Ovis aries: one gene and its partners. The protein of the gene in region 7 interacts with the protein of the main gene of each other region in a pairwise test. Links are inferred from orthologs where the notes say so. Each region holds a gene or a part of one and is shown on either strand. Other genes may lie near its edges. The genes, in order: KLF3, NOL4L, CRY2, NOL4, HEMGN, KLF12 and CTBP1.

Evidence for each region.
Region 1: the proteins of CTBP1 (region 7) and KLF3 interact in binary tests that used the Homo sapiens proteins (3 or more experiments, as listed by UniProt). The link is inferred for Ovis aries from reciprocal best matches to the Homo sapiens genes CTBP1 and KLF3.
Region 2: the proteins of CTBP1 (region 7) and NOL4L interact in binary tests that used the Homo sapiens proteins (3 or more experiments, as listed by UniProt). The link is inferred for Ovis aries from reciprocal best matches to the Homo sapiens genes CTBP1 and NOL4L.
Region 3: the proteins of CTBP1 (region 7) and CRY2 interact in binary tests that used the Homo sapiens proteins (3 or more experiments, as listed by UniProt). The two-hybrid records come from large-scale screens. The link is inferred for Ovis aries from reciprocal best matches to the Homo sapiens genes CTBP1 and CRY2.
Region 4: the proteins of CTBP1 (region 7) and NOL4 interact in binary tests that used the Homo sapiens proteins (3 or more experiments, as listed by UniProt). The link is inferred for Ovis aries from reciprocal best matches to the Homo sapiens genes CTBP1 and NOL4.
Region 5: the proteins of CTBP1 (region 7) and HEMGN interact in a two-hybrid assay, tested with the Homo sapiens proteins (2 studies listed by BioGRID and IntAct). The link is inferred for Ovis aries from reciprocal best matches to the Homo sapiens genes CTBP1 and HEMGN.
Region 6: the proteins of CTBP1 (region 7) and KLF12 interact in binary tests that used the Homo sapiens proteins (3 or more experiments, as listed by UniProt). The link is inferred for Ovis aries from reciprocal best matches to the Homo sapiens genes CTBP1 and KLF12.

Annotation. Positions count from the first base shown.
Region 1 is NC_056059.1:58,646,304-58,650,458, forward strand, and holds the start of KLF3 (Krueppel-like factor 3), read left to right. Parts: upstream 1-1,355; 5' UTR 1,356-4,155. UniProt on the Homo sapiens protein: Binds to the CACCC box of erythroid cell-expressed genes. May play a role in hematopoiesis.
Region 2 is NC_056066.1:61,548,134-61,551,633, reverse strand, and holds part of NOL4L (nucleolar protein 4-like), read left to right. Parts: intron 1-1,232; coding exon 1,233-1,510; intron 1,511-3,500.
Region 3 is NC_056068.1:74,808,396-74,812,339, forward strand, and holds the start of CRY2 (cryptochrome-2), read left to right. Parts: upstream 1-1,144; coding exon 1,145-1,368; intron 1,369-3,944. UniProt on the Homo sapiens protein: Transcriptional repressor which forms a core component of the circadian clock.
Region 4 is NC_056076.1:23,440,148-23,443,647, forward strand, and holds part of NOL4 (nucleolar protein 4), read left to right. Parts: intron 1-3,131; coding exon 3,132-3,415; intron 3,416-3,500.
Region 5 is NC_056055.1:49,766,583-49,770,082, reverse strand, and holds part of HEMGN (hemogen), read right to left. Parts: intron 2,924-3,500; coding exon 1,860-2,923; intron 1-1,859. UniProt on the Homo sapiens protein: Regulates the proliferation and differentiation of hematopoietic cells. Overexpression block the TPA-induced megakaryocytic differentiation in the K562 cell model. May also prevent cell apoptosis through the activation of the nuclear factor-kappa B (NF-kB).
Region 6 is NC_056063.1:49,622,989-49,626,914, forward strand, and holds the start of KLF12 (Krueppel-like factor 12), read right to left. Parts: upstream 2,801-3,926; 5' UTR 1-2,800. UniProt on the Homo sapiens protein: Confers strong transcriptional repression to the AP-2-alpha gene. Binds to a regulatory element (A32) in the AP-2-alpha gene promoter.
Region 7 is NC_056059.1:117,891,533-117,895,762, reverse strand, and holds the start of CTBP1 (C-terminal-binding protein 1), read right to left. Parts: upstream 2,801-4,230; 5' UTR 2,619-2,800; coding exon 2,579-2,618; intron 2,337-2,578; exon of another isoform or gene 180-2,336; intron 1-179. UniProt on the Homo sapiens protein: Corepressor targeting diverse transcription regulators such as GLIS2 or BCL6. Has dehydrogenase activity. Involved in controlling the equilibrium between tubular and stacked structures in the Golgi complex.

The DNA of each region.
Region 1 (4,155 bases), about 59 Mb from region 7:
TGACGCCCGGAGCGGCCAGCGCCGCCCTTCCTTCCCCCCGGGCTCGGGCGGCGGCGCGGCGGCGGGGCCGGGCCGGGCTGGGCCGCGCGCTCCAGGGCCGAGGGCGGAGGGCGCCGGGAGGGGGCGCGGGCGGGGACTCCGGGGGGGAGGGGGAGGCGGAGGGCGGGGGCCGCGCACGCCCAGCCCCACGGCCGCGCCGCGCCTCGCGGGACAGGTTGGGCCGGCGGGGCGGCGCCCGGCTCCGGGGAATAATGAGTGTCTGTCAGGCCTTCCCCGGGTGACTGGGCGGGGCGGGGCGGAGGCGGCGCGGGAGGCGGGGGTGGCGGGGGAAGGGCGCAGGGCGGGGTGCGTGTTTGCGCGAGTGACTCGGCCGACCCCTCCGGCGGCTGCCTCCACCCAAGTGGGTGGGGACCCGCCCAGCCCGGGCGGCCGCGGCGGCTCCCTCTCCCCTCCCTGACCCTCCCACCCCGGGTCCCAGCCTCTACTTACCCCGCCAGCCCTGGGAGGCTCGCAGAGCGAGCGGCGCCGGCGTCATGTGACTGCCCGGAGTTGGTGCCAGGAGCCAGAGGGGAGCCAGGAGCGGAGCCGCGCGGAGCCCGGGCCCTAGCCGGAGCGCAGCGCGAGCGCCCGCCGAGCCGAGCCGCGCCCGCCGCACGCGCGCCTGTCCCCGTCCCTGTCCCCTGCGGCCGCCGCCCGTACTGGAGCGCTGACACCTCTGCATCCGCGGGGTTCCAGGCAGCCCGGATCCGGGCCTTTATTTCTCGCCTGCAGCGCTCAGCACCGCGCCTCGAAAAGTAAGTCCCCTCTCGCTCACCTTTCCTTCTCGCCCCGACTCCCGCTGCCCCCCTTTTCGGCTAGTCCAGTTTCCTTTTTTTTTTTTCCCGGGTAGGGGGGCGACGTGCGGTGAATGGGCTGGGGGTGCAGCGCGGAGGTGGGGGCGCCCCCGGGCTTGGGAAAGTGCAACAGCTCCGCGCAGCCGGGGGCGGGGGTGGAAGAGGAGGCGAGGGGGAGGGGGCCCCCGGGTTCCGCGGTGGAAAGTGTAGGATTGGGGAGAACCGCCGTGCAGATCTGCGGGAGCGACGAGCAAGGCCAGCGGCGCCCGCCGCGGCCCGGGATAGGGCGCGGGCGGGGGCTCACCTGTGTGGTCCCCCGACCGCCTCCCGCCTGCCCGCTCGCGATTCCCTCCAAAGCCCCAGAAATCTTAGTGTTCTCCGCGTGTGGCAACGTTGTTTGGAGAAAGGTAGCGCCGAGGCCGCGCGCTCCTGCTCCTCCCCCTCCTCGTCCCCCACCTCCCGCACCCTCCCTCTCCCCGCCCCCCGCCTGCGCCCCCTGCCGCCCCCCTTCTCGGACCGGGCGCGCTGCCGCTCACCCGTCGCCGGAGCAAACTTGGAGCAGCCTGGCGGGCCCTCTGGGAAGAAACTTGGGGCGATCGGGAGTGGAGGGAGCATCCCATTCTCGGTCCTGGAGTCCAGGAGCTGGCCAGGGCGTCTGGATCCCTGAGGGCAGGGGAAAGAGCTGGCCGGGTTTGGAGAGTCGTCCTCGGGTGCAAGGAGAGAACCTGCCGCAGTGTCTGGAGGAAGGATTGCAGCGTGGCTGGAGGCGAAGAACGCCTTAGGCGACTGCCTGCAGTGTTAGGGCCCCGAGCCGGGTGGGGGCCGAGGGAGGGATCTCTGGACCTGGACGCTTGGGACCTACCTTTGGAGATAGCAGACAATACCTGGAATTGTCATAGCTACTTCTCTGGCAGATAAAAGCGAGAACAGTATTCCACTTTTACAGCAGTATATAAAACTAGATGAAGACCGTGTGAATGGGACTTTTTTTCCCTAAGCCAGGTTAAAGGGAAATTGGTAATTGCTCACCTTCTTGTATTTCACTAAAATAAACATTGTACACTGAATTTGTTTTTTACTAACTCAGAATGTATTTTTCGATAGGTCATCCAAGACATTTTAAACATATTGATTATATTCTCAGAAGAGTCTGGTGTATAGAGAAGTGTGAAGTGGTATTCTGACTTCATTTAGATTTGGTGTCTAATTATTAAACAAAATCAAGTAGGGTATAAGGCAGTTGTTCATTATAGGTTACTTCACAGAACAGTTTTGTGCTGTCCTTTTCTGAGTGCTTTATATGTATGAATTTGAGGAGCATTTTTAAAAGAGAAATTCATCCGGATGATAATCTGCATAACCCAAGAGAAGACTTGCTTTTAGGGGAAAAAATTTTTATGACACTAACATCTTGAAAATTTTGTGAGTTAGTAGTATTTTTTAAAGAGTGGATGTGTTTCTTCTGTGGCTTGAAACATGAGGTATGGAAGTTGACTTTGTTCTGTTCACAGAAACCTTAAATGGGATGTTTAATTTCATTCAGTTCCCTAAAGAAGCTGATATCTCAATTTCTACAGTCAGTGGGGTTTGCTGCAGAACTGTTAGAAAAAAGCAGCCTAATGTACCATGGGTGAGGTCAGTGAAAATAGACTATAAGGAGCATTCTACCTGCCTGAAGGAAAATGCAAGTATGAAAATCCTTAACGTGAGAAGAACAAAACTAACTGCTTAGACCACAGAACCTTGTCAGATGTAAAACATGGCAACATAGCTTTGGAGAAAGCTATTGTTTTTTTCACTGCAAAGTTTCTAAATTAAAACCCAATCTTCTGGTTGCTGTGGACACAGTGATGCCTTTTTTTTTTCCTTTTTTTCTTTTTACCTGTAGTTATATGTACACACAGATTCTTAAATCTCTGCTAATAGGAACCTAGTTAAACAGTACTGGCTAACAAAATAAAGAGACATAATGGGGAAAGGACTAGTGAATGGATTTTGCTACCTTACAAATGCCTAAAGGAAAATAGACATTTTAGAACATCTTATAAAAATCGATACTCTATTCTACAGATTGTATAACAATTTTTCAGTTGGATTAAATGAAATTTCAGGAACAGAATTGCATTCTCAAGGTGGATTTCTGTAGATGTGTGTACATGTAGAACAGATGTGCAGCGGTGTGCAAATATCTTTGTAACTCTGCAGTTGAAAAAGACTGAAAATTTGGGATGACTTTAGAGGTCTCCACGCTCTTTGTCTTAGGATTTAGTTCTGTGGCTCAGGAACACTTAAAATTGGTCCCATTCAGTTATGTGGGATGACCCAGTGTCATCTGAATCCTCAGCTGCAGTGCTCTCTCCGTTTCCTCCCGATGCTCTGAGACTGTGCAGTATGCATTACCCCAACCCAGAATTTGACTGTAGCTAGAGACCAGCCATTGGGATGGGGGAGAAAGAGACAAAAGAAATTGGCAGGGAGGCTGGTGTTAATTAGGAAGGTTGCTGCTGCTTGAATATGATAAAATCACATGTTCACTTATGATGTTTACTGTATGTGGAAGCTCCTATTTGTAAATAGGGCAGGTCTCCTGTATAAAGCTGGTGTTATTATTCACACCCATAGAACAAACACCTCCACCCCCCTGTTGTTGTCTTAAAAAACTCCAGCTGCTCATGAATATAGGGTCAGGGAGGGCCGGCTAAATGTTTCTCTGTGCTTTCTCTCCAGCACAGCCAGCAGAGCTGTTTCCTGTTCTTTGTTTCAAGGCTGGGGTTTGCGTCATACATTCCAAGTGGCATATGTGTGCTCTTTCCTGTTTCAGGCTGTTTTCTGGTAGATCAGTAGCCCAGACCAGGCCATGGTCCCTGCCCTCAAACTCCCTGTCCCCACCCAGGGAGTTATCATGTCTCCACACACTTAGGATTGCCTAAGATGCCTGTGTTATGTCATAATGACAAAAGTCAGTTAACCTTTTTACGTACACCCTTTGCTCCAATGTGTTTATATGGGTGAATAAGTAATTTTACATTTTTTTTTTAGTTTATTAGTTCAATTTCAAGAACTGTGTGTGTGTGTATTGGCTGGAAATCTGAAGAAGGCTGTTTTGTTTGCTTTTCCTTCTTGTTTTGAGTATTGGTTTGGCGATAGGCATTCTACCCTGGAGCTGTCAATTTTGGATGAGGTTACACCTTACAATTCAGAAGAACTAGCAGGATCTGAAGGATGTGGCTCATTGCATTTACCACTGGACACTAGGCATAGGAGGCTTCACTGAACAGATAACTCTGAGCAGTCTTGGACTGCTTTTACAGATCTTGCTTAT
Region 2 (3,500 bases), on a different chromosome or scaffold from region 7:
CCTCTGCCCTGGGCCTTGGCTGCTTGATGGGCAGCCTGGCCCCGCCCCTGGGCAACCGGCAGGCCAGTGATTGGTTGGCGCGCTAGAGCCGCTCGGTCGCCATGGGGACGCTCGGGAGGTGCGCGTGCCCAGTGCCCAGCACCAAGGACTAAATCTTCATAATCTGCTGGCTGGGAGGGGTGGGGGTGGGGGTGGGGTCGTGCGCGACCCTGGCGGAGGTGGGGGGGAAGGGGTGTCCTGGGATGCGGTCAGGGCTCCCTGCGGCCGCCCCTCCCCCTCCCACCCTGGTGGCAGGTGCAGAGCCGCTTGGGCACCTGGGCGCCACCAGGAACCACGCGGTACTCACCTGACAGTAACCCCGGGAGCTAGACTGTAGCTTGGGCCTCTGCCTTCTCAGCTGACCAAGCAGGAGGCAGGGGGCAGGGTCGGGGAAAGGAGCCTGAAATTCATCGGAAAGGTCTAGCCCCGGAGTTAAGTTTGTCGTCTTGGATTCCCCGGCAATGCTGTGCTCTCTGCAGCAGGGGGCGCCCTCCACAGGGCTTTGTAGGGCTGTCGCCGCAGGAAAGGCGGGATGGCCCACTGAGGTGCCGCGGACAGAGCCCCTGCAGCCCTGGCTCTGGGTGTCCAGTGTCGTGTGGCCATGCGGAGAGGCAGGTCTGTGTCTACACAGGCTGTCCAGGGTTGGGCCCAGGCCTGCTTCCTGGGAGCAGGGGTGTCACAGTGGAGCCATCCTTAAGTCAGGGGGTGGAGAAATTCCAGGGTCTGCGGTGGGGAGGGGTCCTGTGGGGAAGAGGGTGTGAAGGGGTGAGGCAGTGGTGAGCCAAAGGAAAAGCCCCGTGCAACCTCCAGGGGTGTCAGAGGAGCGCTGGGCCAGTGCCGGGTGGGTTAGACTGGAGGCTGCAGCCGCTCATCCCAGGCCCTGGAAGCTGAATGTGGCATTTGTACGGGTGGACGGCAGAAGGCCCCCACGCCCTGCACACTCCATAGCTGCTCTGCTCCTGGTGGCCCCGGTTTCTGGCAGCGGGACCCTGCCCCCGAGCTCGAGGCTGGGGTAAGGCTTGGAGCCTCTTGGAGCCTCCAGTAGGGACAGCAACGCTCTCCTGCCCAGGGATGCCTGTGAGGACTACACGGGGCAAGTATCACTTCCCTGAGCTGCCCTGCCACATACCTGGGGGTGTCTCGGGGCCGGTGAGTGCTGGGGTGGGGCCTCACACCCAGGCCTCTCGTTCCAGACGACTCCTCCTCTGAGAGCGGCAGCGGTAATGGCTCCTCCACCCTGAACCCGTCGACCTCCAGCAGCACGCAGGGAGACCCGGCCTTCCCCGAGATGAACGGCAACGGCGCCGTGGCCCCCATGGACTTCACCGCCAGCGCCGAGGATCAGCCCATCAACCTGTGTGACAAGCTCCCGCAGGGCTCTACTCTGGGCACGCCCTCCTACCCCTCCGATGGCTGCAGCGCCGATGGACTGCGGAGCCGCGTCAAGTACGGGGTGAAGACCACCCCCGAGGTGTGTGGGGCTGCGGGCTCCCCACAGTTGTGAGCTTCAGCCACTCCTGCATACACGGCAGGGTTGTGCGAGGCTGACGTGAAGTTGCGTGTGGCCATCACCAGCGGAGGCAGGGTGGTGGCCGTGGCCACTGTACCACCGTTTGCTTGGGGAGGTCGTGAAGCGGGAGCAGGCCCCTCACTTCTCCGCCTGTGTCCCCATCTGTGAAGTGAGGCTAGTGGCCTGGGCCCTAGTGGAGGTGGGGAGGGATGTGTGGCCTGGCCCCTCTGCCTCCATAACAGGGTCCGCTGTGAAGAGCAGCAGCAAGCGGGCTTCGCTCAGCAGAGGCCCCAGGCTTCCCATTTGCTGACTGGTCTGCACGCTTGTCCCCATTTTACAGATGGTGCAGATTGAGGCCTTGATGGCCTCAGGGACATGGAGGTATAAAATCCACTAGAGCAGTCTGAGGTGGGCAGATAGATGCCCCCCATTTGGCCTCCCCGACCTTCTCCTGTTACTTCTGCTGGTCACCTCCAGACCACGAAGATCTGCAGCGTGGCCTTGGGTGCGGGAGCTACCCCGGGGAGAGGGCATTTTCTCCTGCCAGGGCTGGAGGGCCAGAGGTGCTTTCTCAGACCCCTACTCTCCTGGGCTCCAGCCGAGGCCCCTGTTCAGGTTCCTTCTCCTCCTGGGGCCTGTTTCCTCTTCTGCAGGGGGTGTAGGGTGGGTACCAGTGCTGGCCTGCAGTGGTATCTCTCGTGGGATGTTTCTGTACAAGAGTCTCTATACAGTCGTCATACGGTCAGCGTACCCGAGCCCAGGCCACGGAGCCAGGACTGGCAGTGCATCGTCCTCCCCCTCCACTTTTATTTTTCCAATTTATTTTCTGGCCGAGCCCTGTGGCATGTAGGATCTTAGTTCCCCGGCCAGAGATTGAACCTGTGCCCCCTGCATTGGAAGCATGGAGTCCTAACCACTAGACCACCAGGGAAGTCCCCATCCTCCCCGTTGACTGAGTCCCAGTGGCAGGCACAGCCTCTGTACGGCAGGCAGAGAGCCGGCACGCATGAGGTGGCCGCTGTGGCCTCAGGCCACTCGTGTGGACCACGGAAGTGAGATGGGAGCGTGAGTGTCTCCTACAGTCTGTCTCCTCTCACCCTGGCTGAGGATCCGTCAAGGAGCGCCTGGGAATGTGACTGACCCATGGCCACTTTGACCCTCCTGTGCGAGTCTGACACAGCCTGGCAGGAGGCCAGAGGACCCGGCTGTCCCTAGCCCTTCAGAGACTAGGTGTGGTGGGCACTGGGTGTGATTGAGAGGTGGGCACAAGGCCAGGGACCCTGGGAGGGCTGACCCTGCTGCGTGTGGTCACATGGAGGCTGGTGGTGGCAGCTACTGCCGGACAGGGCAGCAGTCAGTGTGTCTTTATCCTTTTGTTCATCAGCAAGAGCTGGGTACCACCTGGGCCACTGTATAGCCATGTGGCAGGGTCTGATCTGTTTCCTGGGGTTGACCACCTACTAGAAGCTATCCTCTGTGAGGGCAGAGGATCCCATTTCAGGACCTCCCTGTGTTTCCAGGACACTGCCGGTCAGGACTCGCCAAAGCCACAAACTTTCTAAAAGGCAAACGACAGTGGTCTCTGGCCTTACCAGAGCATGTGTGGCAGGGGGCAGGAGACAGGATGGGAACTGAGCTGTAAAGGATGAAAAAGAGGGAAAAAGCAGGGAGGAGAGTGGGGAAGTGTATTCCCGGGAGAGCTAGGGAAGGGCTCCTTATTCTGGAGGGCAGAGGAGGGGTCCCGTCTCTGCTCCTGCTGCAGGACAGGGCGGTTGCCCCGTGGGCTGGGCCTGGTTCCCTCTCCTCTTTCTACACACGGGCTCTGCATCAGGTTGCCGGTGACTTCCGGGGGTGGCGGCAGACGGGAGAAGCCCAGCCCAGGAGCTGCGGGGATGCTCTGCCTGATGGCCGTCTCCTTGGCTGGTTCTCTCCCAGCCCATCTGTTCCCTAT
Region 3 (3,944 bases), on a different chromosome or scaffold from region 7:
CTGTGCAGGGATTTCCCCAGCAAGAATACTGGAGTGGGTTGCCATTTCCTTCTCCAGGGGATCTTCCCAGACCAGATATTGAACCCATGTCTTCTGCATTGCCAAGTGGATTCTCTTTTACTAAGTCACCTGGGAAGCCCTGGTGAAGTCACACTGAGCAGAGACACAGGACAAACTGAAATTAGAAAGGGGGTGGGGTGTGGTATGTGATCCAGGTTTGAGGGAACAGTTTGTACAAAGCCCTGACAATGAGAGAGCCTAGGATTGCAATAACACTGTGGTTTACAGAGTTGTTCCAAGTAATGCTGCTAAATTGCTGGCTATATTGCTAAACTCCTTCATTTCTCATTCCCAAGTTCAGGAAGTGTTCTGAGCACAGGCACACCTAGGGCCAAATTGAGACAGATTCATTTGATGACCCCCAGAAGCAGAGGACCCCACTTGTCAATCTCACACAGACTTCAGTCCAGTGCTTTGCATACAGAGGTACCACTGAGTCTACTAAACACAGAACAAACGGAAAAAATTCATCTGAAGGCATCATTACTACCTCAAATCACATCCTCCACGTTTCCAGTCCCTACTCCCAACCCATCTGCTGCTGCACAGCAGGGCACCTCTCCACGCGTCAGTGTAAGGGTATTATCATGCTGCTTGGCTTAAAAGATGCACTCAATAAACAGTGGCTGTAGTAAAATGTAACGATGTAGAGTGAGGTAGGTGACGATGCTATCGATGACGATGATGACGTAGGGCAGCCATTTGTTCGTCCTGTTAGTCACTTTTTGGAGTCACAGCAACCCCGCCAGCCCGCACAGCTTCAAGCAAGACGTCTGGGATCCACTGTCCTTCCAGACACCGTCCACGCCCAGACCTCCCTGGGAAGCTCCACTCTATCTCGCCCTAGGGCTCCTCTCCAGAGAGCCCACACATGGCGGGAACGTGAGGGGGCGGGGACAGACCAGGGCGCCTCAGAGCCAATCGTCCGGCGAGAGGCACTCAGCCAATAGCAGAGGCGCTCCAGGGTCGTGGGGCGGGGCCCCAGGGAGGAGCCGTGGCGTCATAGGTCACTGGGCGGGCCGGGGGCCAGGCCCGCGGCGCCTATGGGGGCGGGGCGGTGGCAGCTCCAGCAGTCAGGGCGGTGATGGCGGCGGCGGCAGCGGCGACTGCCTCAGCGGCGGCGGCGGCCCAGGCGCCCGCGCCCCGTGGGGACGGCGCCTCCTCAGTGCACTGGTTCCGCAAGGGATTGCGGCTCCATGACAACCCGGCTCTGCTGGCGGCTGTGCGCGGGGCGCACTGCGTGCGTTGCGTTTACATCCTCGACCCTTGGTTCGCGGCCTCCTCCTCAGTCGGGATCAACCGATGGAGGTGAGGGGGGCCCCGGGGCGGGGGCGCGGTTCTTGGGCCCGGAGCACGCAGCCTGGCCTCTGGGGCACCCACCCTCAGAAGCGGAGGCTCTGGTCCCAGTCGCCTCTGCCGAAAGACCCCGACCTTAAGGAGGTGCAGCAGGGCGACGGAGCCAAGTGCCCGGAGGGGAGAAGCCGGGACCGGGGAAGCAGTGAGTCCCGGTAGTAATGGCCTGGGGTCGAGGGGTTAGCCTCAGGAGGGCTAGCCTCTGACACCGCGGGTCCGCACTGGGTGCTGCCCTCTTTGGTTGGTCCTCACGACGTTCCTGTGGGACAGATCATGATCCCCGTTGTACGGGTGAGACTCGAATCCTAGAGAGACAAGCTGACCTGCCCGAGGACTTGCAGCCAGTGAGTGGCAGAATAGGGACTCCTGTCTAGGCATGAACCTGGGGCGGGGTGGGGGTGGGGTGAGGACAGGGAGGGTTCCTGAATTGACAGCACAGCAGATGCCTGCGTTCTTCAAGTAAAGAGCGCATTGCCCAGCTCCTGAAGGTCATCTTTAAGCCCCGGGGCTTTTTTAATCCATTTTTTTCATCCATCCTGCCTTCCCTCCACCAAGATCATCCTGTCTCTGGGAGATGTCTAGAGACTCTGGCTTAGCATCAGATAAAGCAAAGTGCCAGGCTCAAGGGCATGTTCAGTTAGAGACACTTTGTCCTGAGCTAGAGAGCAGAGAACAGTGCTTAACCCACTTTGGAGAATTCCCTCAGCAGCTATGGACTCACCAGGAAAAAAAAAAGAAAGGAACCAAAAATGTCCCCTCCTTCCTCTTCTTCTCTCAAGACTGATTTTAAAGCACGGATGAGCGATTGTGAATTAGACTTTTATCAGCTGACGTGCTGAGATAGGGAGCAGGAAAGCAGTGGTATCGAGGGCCCCTCTTTGATGACACCCAGGAGATGGAGTGGACAGGATCATGGGAAAAGATGAACAAAGAGGCAGTGGATGTGCTTTCTCTCTAAGCAGTGTTTGAAACCAAGGGGTTCTGAGACACTGTGTTCCCATCTGTGTGCAACACGCCCTGCAGTAGTCCTCTGGTTTGTTTGCATTATTCTGGAGGATATTTGCTTGTGGCCTTGTTGCACAAGGGGCAGAGTTATTCCCGGGATACGCCGGCTCTCCACCATTCTTTCCTTTCCAAGGTGTGTGCCCTGCGAGGAGAGTGAGTGCCCCCAGCAGTGGGTCTATTCAGTGCCCCTCCCGCCCCACTTAATATAGTATTGAGAGAACCACTAAAAACAGTCCTGTGGAGAGCCTGCCCACACAGTTTTCAGCTGCTGTATTGCTCTGCCTCTGCTCCAGTTTCTATAGATAGGAGGTTGGGGTTGACAAACACTCTCAAATGACCTGCCATCCCTAGCATGGACTGAGTCTCAGACTCTGCCCCTCTCCCAGTGGCAGCGTGCCAGGCAGAGTAAATAGAATCCAGACTGCTTGCTGGTTGTATTGTCACGAAGGAGGTTCTTCTTTTATTAGGTTTTGGAGGACATTGCATAGGACTGCCTATACTTTTGTGGTAGTGGAGGTCACAGATCAATGACGAAAACTCTGTTGCTGATTAAACTCAGATGCTCGGGTCAAATCCTGAAGTCAGAGGCCATGCAGGAATGCAGATGTTAATGGAGCAATTATTTAATGAATGCCTAATATCTGCCAGGCACTGCTGCTAGGGACACAGCAGTGGACACACAGATGTGGTATCCAGAGCACCCGGAGCCTATGTTTTCGTGGCACAAGACAAGTAACCAGCCTTCCTTTAGTAGAATTGATGCCATGAAATAAATAAAACTGGGGGACATACTAGGGCAGTGGTTCTTAACCTTGCAGCACACAGGAATCATTTAAGGACCTTTAAAAGATGCCTGGGTCCCCTTCTCTCCCAGTTCTATTCCATTGTTCTGGGTTATGGCCTGGGCACTAGGGTCTTTAAAGCTGTCATGTGCAGCAAAGCCAGAGAAGCACTGGCCCGAGAACCCCAGCCTGACAACTTGGGATACGTGTTGCAGCTCATTGGCAAGAAGTGCGATTTGTTTTGGCATCAGACGAGAGGTGAAGTCACCCAAAGTAGATGGAATACGATCATTGCTCTTGGGTTTGGACACAGATGCATTCATACCACCCCCACCATACTCTGCTCCCAGGTTCAGCGTGAAGGCAGAACTGCAGGCGGTTTTGTGCATTTTGTTGGGGGTTGAGGGAGAGATAGAGCCAGACGCACCTCTGCATAACTACAATAGGTGTAGTCTTCCAGTGGCTGTTTCTGGATCTGGAAGTGACCTGGGAGAACTGTGCCACAGCAGAACATTCTAGCTCTGCAAATACTTCAGTTGCTGCTTCTGAGAAGCCTCCGCGGAAGAGTGGGCTCCAGGCCTTCTGCCAGAGGCCAGGGGGCCACAATCTGTGTCTCTGTTATCCTCCTGCACTTCCTACACTGACTCCCACACTGCGTTCTTCAGCAGATAAATCAGATTAAAATAACCATGAAGGACACTTTCTAAGAGTCAAAATGGACAGAGAAAGGCAGCCGAGAATATG
Region 4 (3,500 bases), on a different chromosome or scaffold from region 7:
TTGTTTTTTTTCACCAAATGAGGTCCGTTTTTGAATGGGTACATAAACAGAGTAATTTCTTGTCCTGCAAACTCATTTTCATTTTCTCACAAAATATGTTCAGAGAATTGCTTAAAAAATACTATTTTGTTGAAAATTAAACTGAATGCCCTTTGTTTTTATTTTTCACTAGAGTGAGAAACCTAGACTTTTTCCTAGCCGTGTATCCAACCATTATCAGTCTTACTTCTTCTCTTTTTTTTTTAAATTTTTACTGAAATATATTTGATTTTCAAGTATGCATTTGTTTTAGGTATACAGCAGAGTAATTCAGTTATACATATGCATATGTTCATTTTTTCAGGTATTTTTCCCATTTAGGTTATTACAGAAGATTGAGTAGAGTTCCCCTTTGCTGTATAGTAGGATCTTGTTGGTTATCTACTCATTATATTTAGTAGTGTATGTATGTTAACCCCGAGCTCCTGATTTATCCCTCCCTCCAATGTTTTGCCTTTGATAACTGTATGTTTGTTTTACATATCTTTTCTATTCTAAAATAGTTTTAGTCACCCCCTCTTACTCTGCACTGCTGCTGTTTTACTTAGAGTTTGTTGAGCTTTCAACAAGCTGAGTTAGATGACTTCTACATCTCCTAAGGGTCCCCCCAGCTTCCAGATTGTTGCCTTCATACCATTCTCCTCGTCAAAGACAGAGTTATCTCTTTAAAACATTTTTTTTTTTCACATTACTTCCCACAGGTAATTAAAATTACTTGTTTGCTCTCAAGATAAAATCCAAGTTCTTTGATGCACAAAACACTTCTTTTCCTCCCTTTTTAGGTTTCCCTTTCATCAGTGTCTCTTTGGTACTCAGCTCAGTACTCTTATTTCTCATGGGCCTGATTATTCTTTCCTCTGTGACTGCACCTGACAGTTTCTAGGTGGGGAAGTCTCTTCACCTGATTCAAGCTTTGGAATTCAACTCCAATGCCACCTTCTTTAGAAAACCTTCTGGATATCTTGATCCCTTGTTCTGGATCCCTTGTTCCTTTTTTTGCTCTGTATTTTAGCTTCATCTTTATTTTTCTGTTACGAAATTATCTGTGAACCCTTTGAAGGCACCAGATTCTCTATTGACCAAATATTTTACCCACTTTTGGCCAAAATCAGGCACTCAGTAAATGTTTGTTGAATAAATAAACTAACAGGTGAGTTATACCACTCCTTCAGAATGTAAACATTATTTCCGTGATTTCGATTGATTAGAAGATGACAAATATTTCATTGTACTCTACAAAAGGAAAGCAAACTTGAGAATATTGGAAATCAAACAAAAAATTCACAAAAAGTCACAGATATTTGCATGGTTTCATCAGTGACTCTGCTCTAAAGGAAGCAGTTTAATGCCTTTCTCAGTCATAATCTTTTAAAATGAATAGCAAATTCTTACTATGAATATAAAGAAGAAATTAAGACAAACAGAATTTTATTGTTTAGGTAAACTTTATTTTTGTTTGCTCTCAATGATATTATTTCCTTCTAACCAATTTTCTTCTGTATTTTAAAGCCAGAAGTGTTCTTAGTTCTGCTTCTTCTCCTTCCCTGTTTCTTCTATAATTATTCCATTTTTGTTATTAGAAAATTATATATTATATGTTATAAATTATATACTTTACAGTACATTATGAATTCTATCAGTTCAGTTCAGTTGCTCAGCCGTGTCCGGCTCTTTGCAGCCCCATGAATCGCGACATCCCTGTCCATCACCATCTCCCGGAGTTCACTCAGACTCACGTCTATCAAGTCCGTGATGCCATCCAGCCATCTCATCCTTGGTCGTCCCCTTCTCCTGCCCCCAGTCCCTCCCAGCATCAGAGTCTTTTCCAATGAGTCAACTCTTCGCATGAGGTGGCCAAAGTACTGGAGTTTCAGCTTTAGCATCATTCCTTCCAAAGAAATCCCAGGGCTGATCTCCTTCAGAATGGACTGGTTGGATCTCCTTGCAGTCCAAGGGACTCTTAAGAGTCTTCTCCAACACCACACTTCAAAAGCATCAATTCTTCAGCACTCAGCCTTCTTCACAGTCCAACTCTCACATCCATACATGACCACAGGAAAAACCATAGCCTTGACTAGATGGACCTTAGTTGGCAAAGTAATGTCTCTGCTTCTGAATATACTATCTAGGGTGGTCATAACTTTTCTTCCAAGGAGTAAGCATCTTTTAATTTCATGGCTGCAGTCACCATCTGCATCTATGAACTCTATATAGGGTAGATAATAGAGAATATGTTAGAAAATCCAGTGCCATACTGTTAAGACAATATCAATATTAACATTTTAGACTACAGCTTTTCAGTCTTTTTGTTTTTGTATTTATGTTTTCTTTTCAAAAAATTGGGCTCATATTGACCACACCTTTCTGTAACTAGCTTTTTCCATTTAGTGCCTCTTGATTCACATTTTCCTTTATATTTAAAATGGGATATTGACTAATTCCATAATATTCTAAATGTTTCAACATACATTAAGCCAAATTTCTATTTTTGACAATCTGTATCATTTCTAAAATTTTGTATTATTGATATAAGCAACACTGATTTCAGGGTCTTTTTATCTGCAGAGAGATGCCAGCAATGATTAAACCCCTTAGGCTTTAAAGCCTTTATAATGGCTGAGCAAAATTTCTGAGTACTTTTGATGTTTCAGATGCATATTAAATGCCCATAAAGCTTGTACTAGTATATAAGCTGCTAGCAGGGTGGACAATGCTCTCATCAGAGAGTTTTCACTGAATCTGGACAATCTCACTGAAAAAAACAAAAACTACTTGCAAAATAATCGGCAATTTTTTAAAATTTACTTTTCTTTGAGATTGTGTTTGCAATTGAAAGGCTTATTTTGTCTTCAGATTATTTTATCTTCTATTTATTTTATACTTCACTTCTTGTGCCTACATATGTATGCCTTCTAGGTTAAAAATGATACAGACTACTTCACAAGTTTTTGCTAAGGATAAACTGCACATTATATGTAAAATTGGTTAGTACCATGCCAAGCTCAGAATAGGAGCTCAATAAATGTTTGTTGAAGTAGAAACTTATCAGCATATCAATTAAAATCAAAATATAAATTTTTTCTTTCCAACAGATGATTCTGCCACAGAGAGCTTCAATGGCAACGAGACTCTGGGGCACAGTTCAATTGCTTCAGGGGGAACACACAGCAGGGAGATGGGCGACCCCAACTGTGATGGCAAAGCTGGGCTGGAACAGGACGAGCAACCACTGAACCTGAGCGACAGTCCCCTCTCAGCACAGCTGACTTCGGAATACAGAATAGATGACCATAGCACTAATGGAAAAAACAAATATAAGAACCTTCTAATTTCCGACCTCAAGATGGAACGAGAAGCAAGAGAAAATGGAAGCAAGGTACGGTCATGTTACGATTTTCAATGAATTTTTAAGTTGGTCATGAAAGTCGCAAAGAAATACGTATACAGGAAACAAAGATCAT
Region 5 (3,500 bases), on a different chromosome or scaffold from region 7:
CAAGGAAGTAATCAGATCAACTTAAGCTTTCAGTGCCTTAGTTTCCTTTCCTATAATATAGGGACATATTATTCATCCACTAGGGTTTCTAACATTGAATAAAGTAATTCACAAAAAATGTTTAATAGAGAGATTGGCAGATAGAAAGTGCTATAATAAATTTTAAACAACTGTTACTTCCCATGATGTTCATTGAACATTGTTACAATAGTAAAACTTGGCAGTAACCTAGGTGTTCATCATTATAAGGACTGGTTGAATAAATTGCTGTATATATAACATAATACTGAACAACTGTTACAAAGATGTCATTAGGATGGCCACAATATACATGGCATGTGAAAAAAAGCAGGTTATAGAATAGAATGTTATTGTACCATCTCATTTGCTAAAACAAAAACTTAACATTGGGGGTCAGAGATAGGAAGTGGTATCATAGGGCACTTTATAGTCACTTAGATATTGCTTTAATTTATTATAATGAACATTTATAATTATCATTATAGCAATTTTATAATCAGCAAAAAGGAAGACATTTCTACTTGTTTGGCAAGATAAAGAAAAAACAAGATAAGCATTAATTGCCAAAAAGCATAAAATAATTAATTAATTGCCTGTCTTAACCTCACTGGGTTTAGAACAAAACCCTGAGAATCTGGTGCTATGTTGATTAGAGCCACGTCTCCAGCAGGGGACTCCTGTCAATACAGGTAGTGTTTCATATGTCTGCTTTTACTGTAATTTTAAAAAGGTATTTCCTCAAAACCTATATTGCTTGGAACCCAACTTAAGCCCAGGTTTTTGTTGCACTCATATTTTAGGAGAAAGAGAAAATAAGCTACCAAAGGAATTTCTTTAGAAAACAATTCCCTGGGGATAGACTGCTAGGCTCAGCCCATTTTCTACACCGAGAACAGGACTGAACAAGGAGAGCCAAGGCTCTCAGTTATGTCCCTGCTGCTGCTAAGTCACTTCAGTCGTGTCCAACTCTGTGTGACCCCATAGACGGCAGCCCACCAGGCTCCCCCATCCCTGGGATTCTCCAGGAAAGAACACTGGAGTGGGTTGCCATTTCCTTCTCCAATGCATGAAAGTGAAAAGTGAAAGGGAAGTTGCTCAGTCATGTCTGAGTCTTCGAAACCCCATGGACCGCAGCCTACCAGGCTCCTCTGTCCATGGGATTTTCCAGGCAAGAGTACTGGGGTGGGGTGCCATCACCTTCTCCATATGTCCCTGAGACAAGTAAAGTTGAATAAAGGTCACATTGCTTTTAAAATACTATGCTTTTCAGGGACAAATATTGAAATAGAAAGGTAAGCCTGTTAACTCCTATAACAACGAGTTCCCTAGTATCAGGATCCTACTTTATGTCTTTGTATCTTTCTCAGTACCTTGTACCATGAATTTACTTGCCTTTAGTTTGCCAGGAAATGTTAATTTTCTAGGAAAAAAAAAACTTTATTCACCAAGATTTTGTGTTAATATAAATGTAATTGTCCAAAACATTTTGCACATAATTGACTCTACATAGGGTTCATTTTTCTTCACCTACTAAAGCTTCCCAAAATGCATAGTATGTATAGGTACCCACTATATACACTTATAGTTTCAATTATTTTCTTTAAATTACATGGAAATATACCAAATATATATCAGTTGAATGATAAACATTTTTCACTTAAAACTGGACAAAGGCATCAAAGATACCTATTGAGATAACTGGGATAACCCAGGATTGTCACAGAAGGCTATGAATCAGTGCTCCAAGGGAGAGATGCCTATTTGGTGCTCTGATTATGAACAGGAAGCAGTTAAGAAATGGCAGTGTCACTAACTTGACCCCAGTAAGAAACCCATACCTTGAGGAAAAGTATAAACATCCTTAGCATCTTCCTGGTGTGCTTTAGGATCCTGGTCTTGGGGTCCACCTATTTCCTGGTACAGTTTGGGAAAGCATTCTTTAGGAACATCTTTGTCTTTATATGTCTTAGTAGAGAGGTCTTCAGGCCCAGGTGTTTCTTGGTAAATTTCAGGTGCACCATCTTCAGGTCCTGGTGTTTCTTGGTATATTTCAAGTGAATATTCTTCAGACCCAGGTGTTTCTTGGTACATTTCTGGGGGATATTTTTCAGGAACAGATGTTTCTTGGGTTGTTTTATGAGAGGGGGCTTTAGACACAGCAATTTCTTTATACATTTTATGAGAAAAGTCTTCAGGTTCAACTGTTTCCTGGTGTATTTCTGTAGAAAGCTCTTTAGGCACAGCCATTTCTTGCTGTGTGTTAGAAACAAAGCTTTCAGTCTCAACTATTCCTTGACCTGGTTCAGAATCGGGTTCCTCAGGCTCAGGTCTTTTCTGGTATGTTTCAAGAGTGGAGGCTTTGGGCGCATCTGGTTTGGGGTGTGCTTCAAGAGAGCGTTCCTCCAGGTCAGTTGTATCTTCAGATGTTTTCGAAGAAAGGACTTTGGCTGCAGTGGCTTCTTGGCATGTTTTAGGAGAGACGTCTTCAGGCTGAGCCATATCACGGAACATTTTGAAAGGCTGGTCTTGAAATATAGCTATTTCTTGGCACATTTTAGGAGAGAGGTCTTCAGATTCAGCCCTATCTTGGCTTATTTCAGAAGGGTGGTTTGGTACCGCTATTGCTTGGTACTCAGAAGAATTTTCCTGAAGGATAACACTTTCTTGACCTACTTCAGAAACATGTTTCTTAGGTGCAACTCTTTGTGGGGACACTGCCGGAAGGAGAGCTTTGGTCACACTCCCAGGTGGCTCGATTTCTTTCTCTTCAGGTGCTGGTGCTTTCTCCATCATTTCCCTTTCTAGTTGTGATGGAAGCTCCACCTTCATTTCTGTATTTTGTTGTCTCTTTCTGCCTCTTTCATTTCTTTTCCCTGTTCTTTGCCGCTTGTGTTTTTTCTCTCTATGGAGAAATCAGAATTACTATCAAAAATAGGGATCCAGAATTCAAATAAATGTTTGGCAGTTAACTGTTCCAGGGAGTCCAGGACTCCCACTGCCTAGTGGCGTGACTTTGAACAAGCTACTTAATCTCTCCAGGCCTCAATCTCCTTGTGTGTAAAATGAAGAAGGAGTGCTAAATGTTCTCAATTGTCCGGAGAGGAAATGACCCTTGGGACTTTTTTGTCTTTGATGACTGGTTCAATAAGCACCTTCTTAGTGAGCAGTGTGTGTGTGTGTGTGTGTGTGTGTGTGTGTGTGTGTGTGTGTGTGTGTGTGTGTTTGAGAGCGTATACTTAAACTTTGGTTATAGAAAATGTATCACTGATATTATAAATGAACAGATTGGCATTCTGTTTTACATAATAGTCTCTTTGGGTTTAGCCTGTGTGAATTCGTTTCTCTATGCCGGTGGGGAAAACTGATATGATTGTGTTGCTAAATCTGCAACGCAGCCCTGCTTCACATCTGTGAAGCCTGCAGGTGATGAGCCTGGCTTGCTCATTTAATACAGTGTCTTGTGTAAAACAGGCTAAGAG
Region 6 (3,926 bases), on a different chromosome or scaffold from region 7:
CATTAGTAGTGAAACTACTGAATAACTGAAATATTTCAAAAATACACAGAAACCCCTCAAGGATGTTTATCTCCCACAGCGATAATAGTTTTAGGGCATAAATTATTACAATGTTCTGTGAAACCATCCCAACTTTTACCAGCTTTAGTGTATTTCATAGTAATTATGAATTAGAAGATAAAATAAAAAACCCCTTTCCTTATTACATTACAGATTCCTGTCAATTCTGGTATGCTCAAAACCCTCTCCCAACTCAAAGGAGTTTAACCTAATCCAATCGACCAGGCTGCAGCCATAAAGATACAACTTATGCAACCGAATGTTTGTCCTTCAACATCTCATTTCTAAGCTGCTAAAGTTAAACATTTTGTAGCCGAAAAGTATATCCCTTTATCATAACCCATTTCTATGTGGTTTTTAAAAAAATGTAAACAAAAATGAATGAGGTTTACAAATAGCACTCCCAGCCTATTTTATTTTTTAGGTGAGGGGTCACTGTTTTTGCTGAATGCCAATTTCAAAAAGCCTTTCTTAGAAGAAGGAATACACCCAGCCTTCGAAGCGACCACTCCTATTCCCCCATCACAAGCCGCTGCCCGTTAAAAACCACCAAATTCATTTCAAGGCATTTACTTAGCTGAACAACTCTATCCTCCAGTAGGAAGAGGGCATGGAGGCGTCTAGGTGGATTTGCAGAATGACGTCCGTTGATTGGCAGATGTCTACCGAAGCCACTAGACGCACATGCACCAAATGTAAATAGAGCTGCTCCTCTCCCTGGTGTTTCAGGGAAACTGAGAGAATATTAAAGCTGATTTAAAACAAAACATCCGAGGGCTCGGCTGAGGATTCCATTAGCCAGTGGAATTGCCTAAAACAATCCATACAGCGCGACACTTAAACCATCCGTACAGTTAAATTAGAGAGCTGACAATATTAACCACGCGAACTGTTTATCCAGATTACACATTCCGTTGTACTAATACTCTCTAACTCAACACAGTCAGCTTTTACCAGCTGAATTAAGGCTATTACTATTAAAGTATGCAAAACTCGAAGCGCAGGGTGAAGGGGGTTGGGAAGCTGCAGGGCATGTAACAAAGGAATTGGTACTTTTTCCAAGCTTTTGCCCCAAATGCACTTCGAAACTGAACTGTTGAGTGCACCCCACCCTTTTCCCCAAAGATAAAAGTTTTCAAAGTTCTAACAGGCAGTTCTTTGCCCAAGAAAAGCAGGACTGACTCTTCCTGTAGGGAAGCATCTAACGCGAACACCAACTAATGTCGCGGAGGTCAAGTACGAGTCCTCCTCTAAAGGCAAGAAGTGGCTCCCAGGCCGGCTCCGCGGGCTTCCCGCCCGGGTGGCCCTGCAAAGTTGCCCCTTGTCAACTCCGGCCAGGTCCCCCGTAATTGAAAATAACAGCCTCGGGTCAGCCCCCCGGCTACTTCCACAGACCAGGCACTGTAGCAAGTGACAGTTACACATCATTACGACCAGAGACAATAATGAATGTGGCACCGGGACCACTATTCATGCCAGCAGTGTCATCTCCGCTTTAACCCCTTCCCCTCCGCTCTCTCCAGTGCACACCCACAGCCCACACGGCCCGGTGGGGCAGCTCGTCACCCAACTCGCTCTATTCCTGGGGGCAAACTACTTCCACAAGCTCCCCCCCCCCAACCCCCAATTCAGCCCTGGTGTTTTATTTCCCATCCTTGGCAACTGTCAGGCAAACACTGCAAACAACAATTCCACTAGGGATAGAAAAATATTGCTTAATTCAAGCTACTTGATAAGTTCTTTTTAAAAAAATGGGGTGGGGGGGAGAAATCTCCTTTCTTCTCCACGAATCCAACCGACGCTACTTGCTTTGCAAAAGCGTCGCCCTCCCTCTCGCCCCCCCGCCGCCCCGCTTCCCAACACTTTCCCCCTTTAAGAACACAGACCAACCAAAATGACTTAACTTGAGCAGATGACAGAAGAAAAATAAAACACATTAAGAGACTACGGTCTGATCTGGGATGGCACCAGGAAAAAAAAAAAAAAAAGAGGAGGGGGTTGTTTATTTTGATAAGAAACAGAATCGGCACAGACCTGAACAGAAGCTGCAGAGCAGGAGAAATTGTTTTCTTTCCCTCACCCAGAGTCCCCCTCTCTCTCTCTCCCTTTCTCTCGCTCTCACACGCGCGCGCGCACACACTCACGCTCACACACACACACACACACGGCGTCACCCGCGCACACTCACACGCACACTCGCACACGCACGGGCAGAGCCTCTCAGCTGCTCTCTGCAGTTCTCAGGAAATGAATGGGGGGCAACCCAGGGAACTGTTGTACTTGCAAATGACTTACCCGGATCACATGATGCGCTAAATGTAGGGTGGGCCGGTGGGTGGAGGCTGCCGAGACGCGAGCCCGGGTCTAGCGTGGGGAGCCTCGCCAGGCCCGCATCGAATTACCCCGGGGCCCAGCCGAGGGGGTTGCAAGACGCCGCTTCTCCTCCCTTGCAGCCCGCAGCTCAGGAAACCGGAGAGGCGCGGGGGGATGGGGTGGGGAAGGGTGGGGTAGGGTGGGGTGAGTTGGGGGGGCGGGTGGTGAAAACACCAAACCCCCAAACAAAAGAGCTCCGGGTCCTCCTCCCCAGAAACAAAGCCCCGCCGCTGCGGGCGAGCCCCGGGGTGGGGCCGAGGGCGGGGGCGGCGGCGGGGAGGGGCTCGCTCAGCAGGCGCTAAGTCGCTTTATTGCCATAAAATGGGGCCCCCGAGCCGCTCCGCCCGAGGATTAGGAGGCGGGCTCTGAGTGTGATGGTTGAAATCCCCTGTGGGAAACTAACCCCTCCCCGCTCGCAGAGGTAGAAGGCAACACCCACTGCCCGGCCCTCGCCTCGCCGCCCGGGCCGCCGGCTTGGGGGGTGGGTCCGCGGAGCCTCCACCCCGCCCCACCCCGCCCCACCCCTGCCCCCGCCCCCCGGCCTCGGCCGCGCTTCGCGATCACCTGCACCACCTTGCTGCGGCACCCAAAATAACCCACACATGGCCAACACTGCCTTGGGAGCCGCGGGGCGCGAGGGGCCCGCGGGAGGAGCCCCCGATTTCAACTCCTCGGGAGCGGACTCGCGCGGAGCCGCCAGAAAGTCCCCTCTTTTGTGCCAGAGCGCGCTAGGCTGCCTTAGGAAGGGAATTTGGAGACAAATAAAGCGCGGAGCCCGCTCGGCCCACCCCTCCTCCGCCCCCGCCGCTCCCCTCCCGCCCGGGTGGAAACGTGCGGGGAGGGGGCCGGGCGCCCGAGCCGTCCCCGCGGCTCACCCACCAGCTAACTTGGAAAGGTGTGGGCGGAGCCGGCTCCAGCGGCCGGCGGCGGCTCGGGACCGCTCGCGGGGACCGCCCCCGTGGCTCCGGGCATCGCCCGCGCCGGGCAACAATGGGGTCCCGGCCGGGGCGAACGGGCGGGAGGTGCCCTGGGCGCGGGGGCGCACGCGGAGGTGGGGCGCGCGCAGGGCCGGGTGCGGAAGGCGGTGGGGAAATCATTGTTTGGGTTCTCGAGCGACGCAAGTTGCGGGCGAGGCGAGGGCGTCCTCCCGCGCAGCGCTTCACCTTGGCGGGATGAATGGGGGCGAGGCGGAGCCGCACGCCCGGTTCCGGAGCCCCGGGAGATGGGATGCCCGCCCTCGCTCGGAATTTGGGCAGGAAGCGGGAGCTGTAGATACCGGCCAAGGGGCTGCGGGAGAGCGGAGTCCGGCCCTCCCCTCCTCGCTCCCCAGAAGGGAGCCCCGAGAAGCGAGCAGCCCGGAGCTGAGTCCTTGACGCCCTTCCCGAGGGTCCCTCCCTCCTTCGCCGCTTCCGCGCCCCGGAGAGCGGATCGACGAGATTCTGGGGCGGGAGAGAGGGGAGGCGGGCAGCGCGGCCCGGCTCTCCCGCGGCGGC
Region 7 (4,230 bases):
GTCGCTGAGCCCCCAGACTGGTCACAGCACATCCCTGCATCTGCAGAACGCCCCGGGTTCCTGAGAGCCCAGGCCTAGGCCTCAGCGCACCCGCAGCGCTGGCTCAGGGGCACGCACTGGCTCATGCCGCCTGGTGCAGGGCTACGGAGCATCGCAAAGCGGACACTCCCAGAGCTCACCTCCGAACAGCCTCTGCTTCCGCTCCAGCCCCAGAACTGCCGCCTCAAACTCAAGTTCCAAACTCTGCAGCCACGAACAGGGTCCCTGACCCCACGTCCAGCCCTCCAGCCATCTCCCCGGCCCCACGGCCCCCACGCTCCACCAGGCTTCCGGCCTGCACACTGCGGCCCCCTGGTCACCGCAGTCCCTTGCACACGCCTCATCAGCAGGAAGCGCATGCGTCACTGCCCCTGGTACCTTCCCATCCTCCTCTGCAAAGCCGGCCCATCGGTCAGGATGTGCCCTTTGGCTGACCACGAGTCACAGCTGACACACCAAGGCCCCCCGCCCACCCCCGTGTCACTCTGTCGGAAGAGCCGGCAGCAGCCACGCCTTCTCCAGCTCACCCCTGCCCCCAGCACAGCCGTCTGAGCAGGGTTCTGGCCACACTGACAGGGCGGGTCTGGCTGTGGTGGATGCTGAGCCCCTGGAGGCAAGGCCAGGGGGCTCCCCCAGGCACACAGGGCTTCAGAGCACCCGCAGCAGGCCCACCCACCAAGAGTCAGCCTCACAGCGCAGTGTCCTCAGCTCCTCAGAAACCAAAAGGCGCCCCGCACACGTGCTAGATAAAAGCCGTGACGCGAGGCACGTATGTGTCACGAAGACCCCTCGCCACTCGAATTCATCTCTGCCACCGTCTTCACTCACGCCCACCTGTGTGCACATGCCCTGCTACCTTCGTGATGCTCAAGAGTCCCAGGAAAACTTCACCCAAATCAAGTGACAGAGAGGGGCAGGTTCACTGTGAAACAAACCGCGGCCCTGCACGCCACCCTCCTGCCTTCCGGAGGGACAGTCTGCACAGGGACCCCGGTCCTGAGCCTTGCCCCCTACCTCCAGGGCCTAGCACCCTCCCCATCCCCCGCCCTGCCCCTCCACCTGACAGGTGGCACCCGCTCCGTCACGTGGCCCCACTTCTAACGCTCCAGCCCCTCTACAGCCACAGCGCAGAGAGCACAAGGCCACGACCATGCACCAGGCAGGGGCTCAGCCTGGGCTCCCTGAGCGCCAGGCCTGCGCTCTTGCCTGCTGCGGCCACTCGTCCAGAGGCTCAGGGATGCCGCCCCGTGCAAGAATGGACAGGAGACGCTAACCCACAGGGCACCCGCCCGTCCACACTGCTGGAGACGAGCTTTCTCCTGAGTGTCTGTCTGCCTCTGCGTACATACATTTGAGACTTGGGTGGGGGGATCCTGGAGAGGGAGAAGGTGCCCCCGCGGGGTAAGACCTGCAGACCCCACTCTGGACCCCTCATGTGCGACCCAACTGTCCAGTCATCCAGACAAACGGGAGGGGTGGTATCACTCCTCGGGGCGGGCTCGGAAGAAAACCAATCCCATCGCACGCCCCAACAGCGAGCCTGTCCTAACCAACCACAGAGAAGAGCATCACCGGAAAGGAGGCTGCCCGCCACAGGCCGCCCTCCCGGCAAGCCCAGGGCCGGGGGTGGGGGGGGACCCTCCGCGGCAGGCAGGCACCGGCCAGAGGGAGCCCCGCCCGGACCCACGGCCGCTCCTGCGTCCACAGACCTCGGAGCCCGGGGCCCGGACGCGCCCCCAGCGCGAGGGGGGCCCGGCCGGGGGAGCTGGGCCTGCTCGGGGGCAGTGACAGGTGGACACGGCCCGGCCCGACGGCGGCGGCGCGCGGCGGCCAGCAAAGCCCCACCGCGGGCCGCCCCCGGCCGCAGGCTCGGGGCGCCGCCCGGGCACGGAGTGCGCCTGCTCCCCACACTTGACAGAGCAAGGAGGGGACGGGGTGAGACGGACGCGGCCACAACCGTCCGGCCGCTCGGGCGGACACGGGCCCGGGCCGGGTGTCACCCCCGCCGCCGCGCCCCGTCAGACGTTTCCACAGCGGGGCCGCAGTGCACGGGGGCGCAAAGCCCCGGAAGGCCCAGCCCCAGAGGACTCGGGGCCGCCGGCGCGCCCGGCCTCCCTGCGGGGCCCCGCCGGCAGGAGCCCCGCCAGCCGGGACCGCAGGGCGGACAGGCCGGCAGGGCCCCCGCCTCGGGCGCGGAGTCCCGGCCGCCACGGTCCTCAGGGCCCCGCACCCCTTTGTGTCACCTGCGCGGGCGGGCGGGCGGGCGGGGCGGCGGCGCACGCGCACTCGCGCACAGCAGCCCGCGCACGCGCGCGGCGGCCCCCGCGGCCCTGACCCCGGCCCCGCCCCCCGGGCGCCGGCGCGCACGCAGCAGCCCGCGCATGCGCACGGCGCCCCCCGCGGCCCCGGCCCCCGGCGCGCGGACGCCGGCGCGCACGCGCACTCGCACACAAAGCCGGCGCCCGCGCCCGCCCCGCCCGCCCCCGCGGCCCCGCCCCGCCCCGCCCCCGCGGCCGGAAATGCGCGCGCGCGGCCTTACCGAGCGGCAGGCCCTTGTTGAGCAAGTGCGAGCTGCCCATGGAAAGGTGCGGGCGGCCGCGGGCCCCGACCAGTCCGGCGCGCTCCGCCGCGAGCCCGGCGCGTGGCGCGGCCTGGGCGCCGTCCGCCGCTCCGCCCGCTTGCCTGCGCCCGGGCGCCGCCGTGCCGAGCCGCCGCGCCGCGCCAGCAGCCGCTCCACCGGGCGGGGACAGGGCGCGCGCGCGGGCGGGGCTTCCGGCGCGGCGGCCTCCTGTTTCCAGGAGCGGGCGCCGCGCAGACCACGCGGGCGGCTGCAGGCCGCGCCCGCCCGCCCCGCCCGCCCCCCGGGCCCGGCGCCCCGCCCCGCCCCGCCGGCCGCACCTGCCGGGCGCCCCGCGGGCCCCGCGCGCGCTCTCGCCGCGGCCCCCCGGCCTGGAGCCCGCTGAGCCCCTCGTGCACCTTCCCGCGTGCTCCCATCCCCGCACCCACGCGCCGGCCGCCGAGCGAGCGGCGTCTGCGACCCCGGGTTTTAAGGGTCCTTTGGGCTCCTTGGGGCCACGAGGTCGGGGGAGGCAGCGGCGCCGCCCCCGGAGGTTCCTCTGAGATAACCGGCCCTTGTGCTTGAGATCCGGGGACCGAGGAGGGCACAGGCCTGGGCGGGGCAGCTCCCCCGGAACCGGGGCGGTGGAAGTGGTCCCTGGGAAGCGGCCAGGTATGTGGCCGAAGTCGGTGTAAATCCGACCTCCCCCACCCCACCCCCAGCCCCAGCGAGCGACCTGTGCTTCGTTCCAGAACTCCCGAGGGGTCCTGGCACTCGAGGGTCAGGAGGGCTCTCCAGGGTGGGAGGTCGCCAGGCCCCAAGGTCAAGGTGCTCCGGTCATGGGCAAGGACGGAGGCTGACCCTGGGAGACCGTGATGTCTAGAGCAGGGGTGTCCTGGCAGTGGGAATGCTGGCAGGTGGCCTTGAAGACGGGCAGTGCCCCTGTCTTCACAGGTGAAAAGCACGCTGAGCAGGACAGCAGTTGGCTGGTGAAACGCGAGGAACCGTGCTGAGCGCAGCTGGCCTCCACATCCTGCACATCCACAAGCCAGTGAGAAAGGGTGGGTGGGTTTGATAAGCGTCGATAGGGGAACTGGGCATCTAGCCACAGAACAGATGCTTTTAAATTCGTGCTTGGTACTCACCTGTGAGATTACCTCCCAAATTGGGTTAATTAGAACATTTAGGGGAAATGAGAAAACAGGGTTAAATGAACATTCAGCAAGTCTCAGAGAACTTTCCTGAACACAGACAAAACCACTCACAAGGGAAAGCCCGGACCCCCAGACCTGGGCACGTGTCTGGCCCGCACACCCCTCTGGCTCTCTCAGTTAACAGGATGGGGCCCCTGAGGCGACTCCTCCAGCCCCTGCTGTCCGAGACCAGGGTTCTCCTTCCCTACCCGGGCCCCAGCCCAAGGTCACCTGCCCCTCTCCAGCCCAGCAAGCTGCGCAGTGAGCGTGAGAACGGAAATCGGATTCCGCCATACCCTGCTCAGAGCCCTGCCAGCTTCTCATCGCACGGGGTGGGTCAGAGAGCCCCGGCCGCCCCCTGCCTCTCTCCCAGCCTTCCTTCCGCGCCTGCCTCGTGCTTCATCCTGGCGTCCTCCTCCCCACTGCCGCATCTGCTGTTTC